Linked DNA regions of Arabidopsis thaliana. The protein of the gene in region 2 interacts with the protein of the main gene of each other region in a pairwise test. Each region holds a gene or a part of one and is shown on either strand. Other genes may lie near its edges.

The links.
Region 1: the proteins of PP2-A1 (region 2) and HIPL2 interact in a two-hybrid assay, tested with the Arabidopsis thaliana proteins (one large-scale study listed by BioGRID).

What each region holds. Positions count from the first base shown.
Region 1 is NC_003076.8:25,142,764-25,148,391, forward strand, and holds HIPL2 (hipl2 protein precursor), read right to left. Parts: upstream 3,825-5,628; 5' UTR 3,628-3,824; coding exon 3,534-3,627; intron 3,416-3,533; coding exon 3,255-3,415; intron 3,156-3,254; coding exon 2,370-3,155; intron 2,267-2,369; coding exon 2,053-2,266; intron 1,970-2,052; coding exon 1,791-1,969; intron 1,698-1,790; coding exon 1,459-1,697; intron 1,374-1,458; coding exon 956-1,373; 3' UTR 755-955; downstream 1-754. Other genes in the region: AT5G62627 (Putative membrane lipoprotein), read left to right, coding at 1-139.
Region 2 is NC_003075.7:10,771,775-10,776,684, reverse strand, and holds PP2-A1 (phloem protein 2-A1), read right to left. Parts: upstream 2,752-4,910; 5' UTR 2,350-2,751; coding exon 2,104-2,349; intron 1,717-2,103; coding exon 1,595-1,716; intron 1,357-1,594; coding exon 984-1,356; 3' UTR 743-983; downstream 1-742. Other genes in the region: PP2-A2 (lectin-like protein), read right to left, coding at 1-28; AT4G19830 (FKBP-like peptidyl-prolyl cis-trans isomerase family protein), read left to right, coding at 2,752-3,072, 3,155-3,277, 3,516-3,632, 3,978-4,106.

The DNA.
Region 1 (5,628 bases), on a different chromosome or scaffold from region 2:
ACTAAGAGATGTAACACCGCAACGAGGAGGGCCTTGCAGCTACGACAATTTATGCCACAACCATTGTCCTGGTTGTAAAATTACTCAATGTGTCAATGGAGAATGTGTTTGCTTAATCTGTTACACACCACCATTATAATTAAGTGTTAAATCGCATATGTAACTCTAAGAAGCATAATAATAATAAATTGATAACTATTCAAACTTCGTTATGTGTAATATAGACAAAACAAAATCGTCGTTTGTCTATGTTCGAGCCTTGTATGCTCCACATTTATGTTTTACCGAAAGAAAAAGCGTCATGAAGGGAGAAAGAGAAGAGTGTGATCATATACGCTCTCACAAGTCACAATGTTCTAAACGTAGTTGCTGCCTTGAAATAACAGCCGGTGATATTAATATTCCTCTCGATCTAACGGTGGAGATACTGAAGAAACTCCCGGCCAAGTCTCTTGTGAGGTTCCAATGCGTCTCCAAGCAATGGTCAATAATTATCGGCAGCCGTAAAGATTTCATTTAGGTACTCGACAATCTTCATTTCTTCTCCATTAATTAGTTATCTATATTCTCTGCATGTGTTATATTCACCCTCCAAAGAAAACTACACGAAGATAAAAGAGGTCATGTCATAGAAACAGAGCTTTCTTGTAGAAGAAGATAACAGCTGATATAGACACTGGAGATTTTCTGACATGCACACCTAGTGTCGAACTCGAACATAAGTCTTCATAGGCTAATTTGAAGATGTGTTGAATTGGTCGGCTAACTGAAATATCTACCAGCAAAACGATTGTTCCTGGGAGATTGATCACATTGCTGCGACATAACAATACAAAAGAACTCAAACTTAATGGTTTATTACATATGAGTTCGTCTAATATAAGCAATCACAAAATAGTTTTTGAATAACATCCATAAGAACTGTTACAAAACAGAGTCTGAAACAATCATCATTCTAATCTAACAACGTTAAAAACATCATCAACAACGACAATAACAAAAACACAGAGAAACAGAGCTTTCTTGCAGAAGAAGGTAAAGGCTGAGGAGGAGCAGAACCAGCAGGGTTCTGTTTTCCGGCAGAAGCGGTGGTGTTTTCCTTGGAGCAAGCTAAGTTACAGCGACTAGGACGAACAATTCGATACACACCAGAGCTCGTGAGTAAATGTATGTCCTTGTTATTGTCTTGTCCAAATGAGTAAATGTAACCAAGAGCAGGTCCTGAGCTAGCTCCTCCTGGAGCTGCGGTACACTTCATCGGTGAATCCTTGCTGCAACTAAACGGTATTAGAGAGTCCGTGAAGTTTCCACTATCTTCTGGTGATTCGATCGCTGCCCACATTGCGTTTGCATAAAGATCTGCATACAAGTACCTGAGACAAAAAAATATTTGAGGATTTAGTGTTTTAGCCTTTTAGGGTTTGGAATTAGGGTTCATGGTTTAGTTTTTTTACTTACGTTCCATAAGAGCAAGGATCAGTGTTGGATCGATAAAAGTAACCTCCAATGATGGAAGCAGATCCTTCATGTTTGTTCACTTCAGAGTGGTTGTAACCGAGAATGGGGAATGTCAGGTTTGAATCCGAGGAAACATTTTCTCCAAAAGGCGATAACGGTGAGAAAACATATGGTCCTTCGTAAGTTCTCCAGCCATAGTTTCCACCCATTGTTATGATATCAACTTCTTCATATGTATCCTGTTACATTTTTAACACAGCAATCATTTCATGAGAAACTCTGCATCATCACAGAACTAGATGCTTGAGACGTAAGAAAAAAAATACACAAACCTTTCCGACATCTGCGCACAAGAAGTAATCTGGTCTTTCGGAATCGAAGCTGCAGCGCCATGGATTTCGTAGCCCTAAAGCCCAAATCTCAGGCTGCTCATTTTCATTTCCTTGGAAAGGATTGTTTTTTGGTATAGAGTAGTTTCCCCATAAACCAAGCTTAGAGATTTCAGATACGCCTGCAGAGTTTAAAAACAAGAGTTAAAACACCAAATCCAAACTCCCAAATACAGGCTTTTGGTTATCGATTTCGTCACTTAACTTGGCATAACATCAACATCAAGCCTCAAGATTTTGCCAAGCAACGACTTCTTGTTCTGTGCAAAGTTGTGAGTATCTGAAACTCCTCCTCCGTCACCAGTCATGAGATACAAATACCCGTCAGGTCCAAAGAGAATCTGACCACCGTGAGATGAAGAATACGGAAGTCCCATAGTGAAAATCCTCCTCACTTCAGATGCTTTACCAATCTTTGCCTACACAATTATAAAAGCAACAATCTTGTTAAAATCTTGACCCCCAAGAAACTCACATTTTGGTTGAAATCAAATCTTGAATCTTTTTTAGTTTTAAACTTACCGTTGAAGGGCTCGAGGAAGTACCGTTTGCGGTATACTCGGACACAACGGTCTGATAACGACAAGGCGTCGTGCCATCATCTTTAGGAAGCTTCGAAGGATCACAGTTAACATCAGAATTGCAAGCACAACGACCAGAGCATCCAGGAGATTTGACTTTATCGCAGTTAAAAGACGCGAAAAACCGCCCGTTCTCTGCGAACTTAGGATGAAACGCCATTCCCATCATACCAAACTGCGTATCGAAACTAACTTGATCGGTAATATCAACAAAAGGAGTTGATTCATCGATTTCCATCGGTTTACCTGAGTCTTGATCCGGTATTGTACCTAACCAAATCTTACCAGGTTGGTTAGAGAAAAAGGCCCGGTTCGAACCATCAGGATGAGCGACCATGTTAAGGTAAGAACCAGTTCCTATCTTCTCAAGACATATTCCTTTAGGTGTCTTAACATCATCCTCATCATCATCACTAGTGTCTCTGTTAACCGGTTCACCATTGAAGCATTTGGTTTTGTTGTTGTTGGTTTGAGATGGTCCACCAAAGGCTGTACAGAATTCGGTTTGGGATTTCCAAAGATCGGTTAATGTCGATGAATTTGATGAAGTTGAAGGCGAAGTAGCACCACCAAGTAGAGTGGGACTAAAAGGAGAAGAAACAATGGAAATGTTCTGACATGAATCCCAAAGTTTTGAACATAAGTCTTGTGATGTTGAGTTGCAGAGAATTGGAACTAGAGAACTATCATCATCACCAAACAATTGTCCTGAGAATTCATCACATTTCTGAGGGAAACAAAAAAAAGACTCAGAGATTCAGAATCAATTAGCTTCAAACAGAGCAAATGCATAAGTGAAAGATTGATTCTTATTCTTAAGACTTACAGAACAGAGAATGGATTTGAGAAGAGAAGAACAATTAGAGTCAGAGATGTTCATGGAGTTGAAGCGATTCTGTAATTGAAGATCATCTTTAGAATTGCAGCAAGATCTTTCTTTGTAGGAATCGCAGAACTGGAGTGTCTCGTTGTTGTTGACTGGAGTCTCTGACAAAAAGACGAAAAATTCATCAAAACGACATGAACACAAAAGCCATTAAACTCAAAACGACATGTACGCAAGAACACTTCAACTAAAAACGACATGAACATAGAGAACACTTACTTGAATCTGAGCAAAGAAGGTGAGAAGTTGTTTCAGAGAGTAGAAGAAGCAGAAGAAGGGAACAGATAGTGATGGCTTGATTCGTCTTTGCCATTATTGGAACTATGCAACAACACAATTCTCTCTCTCTCTCTCACACAGGAGACTCAAAGCTATATAGTATATGTGTCTAAATAGTATATATGTGTATATGTGGTAGTAACATAGTTGTGTCTAAATACGACATAAGTCGTTGAAAATTTTGTCAAAATATTAGAGAAAACTTGAGAGAGAAATGAATAAATTCTTTGGATAGGGTGAGACGGTTACGCTAATTTGTCTATCTCAAATATTAAATTCGATTGGGTGTTATGGATTTGTCAACCCTGTTCTCGAAGCTTGATTTTCTCAAAAGTTTCCAATGTTATGATTTTTTTACTATGAAAGAAGAAATGTGGCATCAGTTTTTATTTCTAACTTACTTTTGTTGAAACTTGATAAGATACTAATAGCAATAAATTTTGCCAACCAACATATATGATGATGATGATGATGATGATGAACTAACAATATCGGTCTTGCTCTATTACGCTTATCATTATGTGCTATATTTTACACATTTAGCTTATAGCCTTAATTTTTATCCAAGTTTACTAAATTGGTTTTCACCTCATGACATTAATATTGTGTGTTGACTTGTGCCAACTTCTGTCTACTAGTTCTCAACTCATTAATTATTTTTTAGTTTTCTCTTGAGAACTCAGCCACAAAACGTAATGTTTTCGTATATGTAGAGGATAGATTTTATAAAGATATAGTAAAGAGAACAAGGCTAAGACATTTTGAGCATTTAGATAGCCAACATAGGACTATACTATACATCTTTTATTCGTATTTAAGTATTCTAAGATCTATTTCTTTTGGGTTTGGGATAAAGGACAGAATTAATTAATAATAGTGTTCTCCTTACGCATGTTAACCATATTAATACTTTAGCAGTACCTAACATGAACAATGGGTCAATCTCGTCGTCAATGTTAACATTTTTACATCTTTTACCTTATATTATTATATTTTGTTAGGTTGCTCCGCATTTACCTTTTCTCACACGCTTCACAAAGTTTTCTTCATTTTTGCACCTTTGGCTAAATCAGAAAAATTTAAACATTAACCAGATTGAAAGTTATGACAGCCGATGAAACCACTGATTAAACAATTGTCTACCGACTGAAAAGTCTTACAAGTATATACAAACCTACTAAAAAGCTTAAAAAGTGGATTATGATCAAATATGAAACACGACCGAATAGATTGAACAACCCACTACGACTATTATTTATACTATAGAATCCATCGTTAACTTAGAGCCAACCATAAAGCTATAGTCTGAAATATCAAAGCGGGCCATGTCGGAGCAGATTGAATCATGGTCCACAAACTTTTAATTCTAATTTGCAGTATATATAATAGACCTGACGATATCGAATTTTCCGAAATTTCTCAAACTTTTTGTAAATAGTAAAACATCAAATTTAGTAAATTAAGAATACATTTTGAATATAACATATTACAAATGAACGACATATTAGATACTATAGTATTGTGTCTCTTTAAAAAGATGATATTTAGAATAAAATGCTTAAAATACTATTCTTAATTTTGACGTAAAAAGTTAATACATAGAAATTGATGGGTTTAATTCAAATTAGAAAGCATGTTAAAGATATAGTTGGCGGGTAAGTTTAAAGTATCCTCAAGCAAAGAAAATATGCAAATTAACGGCAACTTGGATCTCCCTTCTCGACATTTTTCTCTTAATTGCATTCCCGATTTCTCACTTACTTTATGAAAATTTAGTTATTTCAACGCCATGGACTTTTATTCAATAATGATCCCATTTGGACTTTTGAAATAGTCTACTTCTTATCATGTAGTAATTTTGATTATGGTCCATACATTCTAGAAGGTAAATAGAGTTTTACTTGGCTTTTTAGATATTTTAAGACAATTAATCAGTAAACTCCAAACGTTAAATATATACTGTCATGTAAATTCTAATGTGAAATATGTTATAAAAATCTATCATGTATATCAATCAACCATTAAATGATGAAAT
Region 2 (4,910 bases):
TTGAGAAGATAGACCATATTATTCCCATTCCTTGATTATTTTTGTGTGTTTTCGTTATATGTTTTCTTCTTCTTTTACTAGCTATTGTATTCAGGTCTTATTTATAGAGGAATTTCATGATTATACCTTCCCGACCTGAATGTTTTGTATAACTAAATTATTCATTAGATTAAGTAATTTCTTATCTGATGGTCGAAATCCAAAAATTCTCAAAATGTTTAACACAAAATTATCTAAATTATGTCAAAATATCCAAAAATAGCTGAACTACCTAGACTTGTACCCAACCTCTTGGGCTCTTGGCTATATATAGTAGACTTCTCCATTAGTGTATTTTTGTAAGTATCATCAAACTTTAGAATACATAAATTAAACAAATGGTACACCGTACACATCGCAAACAAAATTTTGATTGGAATATATTCCATTTTCTTTTACGTCTTGTTAAACATGTTTGATTCTTTATACTTTTCATTTGATATGTTAGCTAGCTTTATTCTTCCATTTTCTCCACCAAAATGGAATTTTCGAATACTCTTTTAAAAAGTGAACATGATCCACGCATATAGACTGTTCGCTCATATACCTTTAAGATTATCTATCAAAAATGCCTAATTGAGAGATTATGTGGATATTTTACACATGTTTAGAAAATATTGTTTATGCCAAATTAAATATGGGTTTTGATAGGATCTAACTAGGTTTAAGGTTCATAGAAAATCTTTCTACTTTTTATTTTTTTACCAAAAATAAATTCATGTCAGCTCGTTAAAAGTTAGAACATTGTAAATGAATTGATTCGAATATAACAACCTTCAAAACACTCGTTTTGAGTTTATTCAACACCAACATTAAAGTTATTATTAAAACTAAAAATACGATAGAACAACCTTATTATACACACATGACATGATGTGAAATATATGTTGAGAAGGTCCATTGGTGCATATGGAGATTTATGTTTTTCTATGCCATAACAATTATTACTGTTTGGGACGAATTGCAACACCTTTGAGGGAGAGCCCTTTCTTCCAAACACCAGCCGCATGCTCATACATTGAGAAAGTGATCTCTCCGGCAGCGGATTTCTCAGGTACGAACTCGCCAACTCTGACATCGACCCATTTATACCTTGGAAGTTCCCTCAAACTCACCTTTTTCTCTTGTGGTTTCTCCTTACCGTTAGGCAAGACTAGCTTTAGGTTCACCGGCGTGTCCCATCCATAGGCCGGATCCTCTAGCTTCACCTTAAAGACTACCTCGTAAACAATCCCCGGAGTGAGGTTCCTCGTGTCGAATTTTCCCGTGATGTCGAGCCAACAAACGTTTTTCAATCCCACAGCTTCCACATTCTCGCTTTAAAAATCATCCAAAACAAACTAAAGTTTGTCACTTTGCATTAATAATTATAGGTCAAAATTCGTATTAATATTGCTATAATATACACACACAAACTTAAAACGTCGTAACCTGTTTCGAATTTATCAAGGATACTTTGATTCATACTCAACTCTATTGTAAATCAAATATGTAACAAAGATATTCATTTTGTGGTAACATTCATAGTATGGGATTTAAATGAAACGTATCTTACTTTGGTGACTCTTTTTCGGTAAACCAAGTCCAATAGTTGACGTCATCAGACCAAGTTATAGAGAGGTTCTTTGCAAAGAGCATGAAGCAGTTGCTGTTTCTCTCGTCCACCCAATATTTGATCTGTTTAATATATATTATACGCAGATCATCAAACCAAATGAATTCATGGTCCGTCTTAAATATATTAAGATTGATTTTCTTAACAAAAAGTTACCATTTTGATAGTGTTACTTTAGTCCATTAGTTCTATCTTATTTTATCTTTCGAAGCATTTGAAACCTATGTGGAAGTAGCAATCATGTCTTTCTAAACCAAGCAGAATGGAAACGTTTGTTTTGTGATCTGATCATTTTTTTAAGCTACTTTTTATTTTAGAAATGAGAGATTCAATTTTTTTGAACCAGAAGTTCTGTGTTTGCAATTTTGTTTACCTAAAGGCTCCGTTTTGCGTAGTTATTTTCTGAAAATAGAAACACAAGTGAGCTAATTCTTAAAAAGAATATGAACCTGTTTCTTGGGTTTCAAGAAAACACCAGACCGTAGCTGTTCAGAGAGATTAACAGAGGAGAGAGAGATCGGAGGATCTGCGTCTCTGAGAATGGCCTCACAGTTGTGTGGAGATTTCACCGTTGAAGCTTTCATCGGTAAAGTTGTCACCGGTGGCGCTTCTTTCTGCACCGGGATCAAGTATTTCGAGTCTTGGTTTCTAAACATCTTATTTGGTAATAATTCTGAGCAATGTTTCTTGCTCATAAACCAGTATGATGTATTTATTTTTGATAAATTTGTTATCTTGATCAGTACATTCAACTTGACAGAGAAAAGCTATTAAATGTGTACATATATAGCCCTAGGTAAAGGGGTTTGATCAAGAATTTATTCTATCATGTTTTATCTCCTACTTTTTCCTCTTTTGTTTTTTTCATCTATCTTATTACACTTTCGTAACACTTTATTCACAAAACTAAAGTTTGATAAGGGAATACAATATGTAGCTTATTCTTGTTTCCACTAGAAAGGTTTTGGCAGCAACTATCGTAATCCCAACCCAATCCAAATCAAATTCCATCCACTTCTGAGTTCTGACCTCTCAAAAGCTAGAATATGTGTACCTTCATTTTTATACTTTCCTTATAAAATAAAAAGGAAAGAAAAATGATTCGGTGCTTCGCGTGGACACCACTAGTAGGTGCTCCCTTAATCACCACCGTCCATTTCACATCTCCGCCATCTCTCAGAATCTTCGCATCTCGTTCTTCCGCACCATCATCATCATCATCATCATCATCGACAGTTGCAGCAGCATCTAGAAGATCAATATCTCTGTCAATTATCGCCGTCACGTCTTCCGTCGTCTCCTCCTTTTGCTTCTCGTCTCCGGCACTAGCCGACTTCTCTGAAATCCCTAATTCCGGCGGCGTTAAAGCTCTCGACCTCCGAATCGGCGATGGTGACGTTCCCATTGAAGGAGATCAGGTTTTGTGTTTTTGTATTTTTGTATAGATTTCAGCAAATGAACGAACCATTTGATTCAATTTTGCAAAGTTTTGAATTTTAGATTGAAATACATTACTATGGGAGATTAGCTGCGAAGCAAGGATGGAGATTTGATTCAACATATGATCATAAAGATAGTAATGGTGAAGCTGTTCCTTTCACATTCGTCCTTGGTTCTAGCAAAGTATAAACCTTTATCTCTATATGCTTCTATCTCAATCATGTGTTGCATAAAGTCCAAGTTTTTGTGACATGGGTCTTGAAAAATTATCTGAATTTGATTTAAAGGTGTGACCTTTGATACATTTCTTCATTGAATAGTGATGTAACAAACTAAGTGGTTTGGGTTTTTGAAGTTGATAATACTTCTTCTATGTCTCTATGATGATGTTTTGTGATGACTGAAACATTTTGATGTGCAGGTAATTCCGGGGATTGAAACAGCTGTGAGGTCTATGAAAGTAGGCGGGATTCGTCGGGTGGTTATACCTCCATCTCAGGGATACCAGAATACATCACAGGAGCCTCTCCCACCAAACGTATGTGTGCACACACACCTCTTTCTCCTTTAACATTTTCATATAATATCTTAATATGAAAGTCATATGTTATTTTAGAGTCCCACATGGATTAGCTTTGGGCCTGGCTTAGTGCCTTAGTGCACCACACTCTTAAGCTAGTTTTGGTTTAGGCCTAAACTATTTAGGTGATAAGAACATAATTAGTTACGTCATGTTCAGTAGCCACAGGGACTTGAACTAGTATCAATCTGTTTGATATGAAAGTTTTAGAGAACCAGTCATATTATTCAGATTGTTTGCAGAAACATATAGTACCAAAGATTGGTTTAAAAATCCTTTGTTTGTTTCTTGTTGTGTTTGCAGTTCTTTGACAGACAGAGACTCTTCACGACTATATTTAACCCAACACGTCTCGCCAATGGAGAAGGTTCTACTCTTGGAACTCTCGTTTTTGACATTGAACTTGTCAGCACCAGACGCCTTCACCGATGAGTCATATTGTCCTAGTACTTTTGGATAAGTGAATAGAAATTTCAACTTTAGATGTAAATGAAGTTGATTATTTGTCACTTCTCTCCCTGCTTTGCATTCGTATTACATTTGTGTGTATAAATAAAAGGTTGCTAAATAATAGACAACGAAACGTTGCTTGTTTTGTTTCACAGTAACTAAAAAAATGTCTTCCACAAAACTCATCTCGTTCATCATAATGATTGGCATGATGATCAGATTGGACAACACTTGGCCCATTGATAGATATTTCGAGGCTGAATGGACCCAGAGTTACAGGAATTCAAATTATGGCTACGGTCTCTCAAGCTTGTGCGGATGGATCATGGATTAGACCTCGGGGAAGACATCTGATTCTACTCTTGAGAGCTTGCTTGCCTATTGATATTGGTGCTTGTGTAGAAACGCATCTTCCATTAAAAGGTTAAAGGCAGTATGCATGTTAATCTTTCAAGCTGTGGTCTATTGCCTATGGAGGGAAAGAAATTCAAGACTTCATACTGCGGTGTTGAAGCCCGCTCAAATTAGAATAAAGGACGTTCAGTTACTGTGGAGGGCTAAATTGGCTGGTTTGGACCGACCTTTTCAACTTAATACTGTCGGGCTTTCCTCTGCTTCTTCTTCTTGGCAACACCAAAGTTATCTCTCCTGCTGGTTTGGTTTTATATAGAGGTGATTATTGGGTGCCTTTGCTTTCAGATTCACTATCAGGCCATCAACTCTCGTTATGCTTCAAGAAATGCATATTTTCAGGATTTTATTTTTCTCTTGCTTCACATATATAGG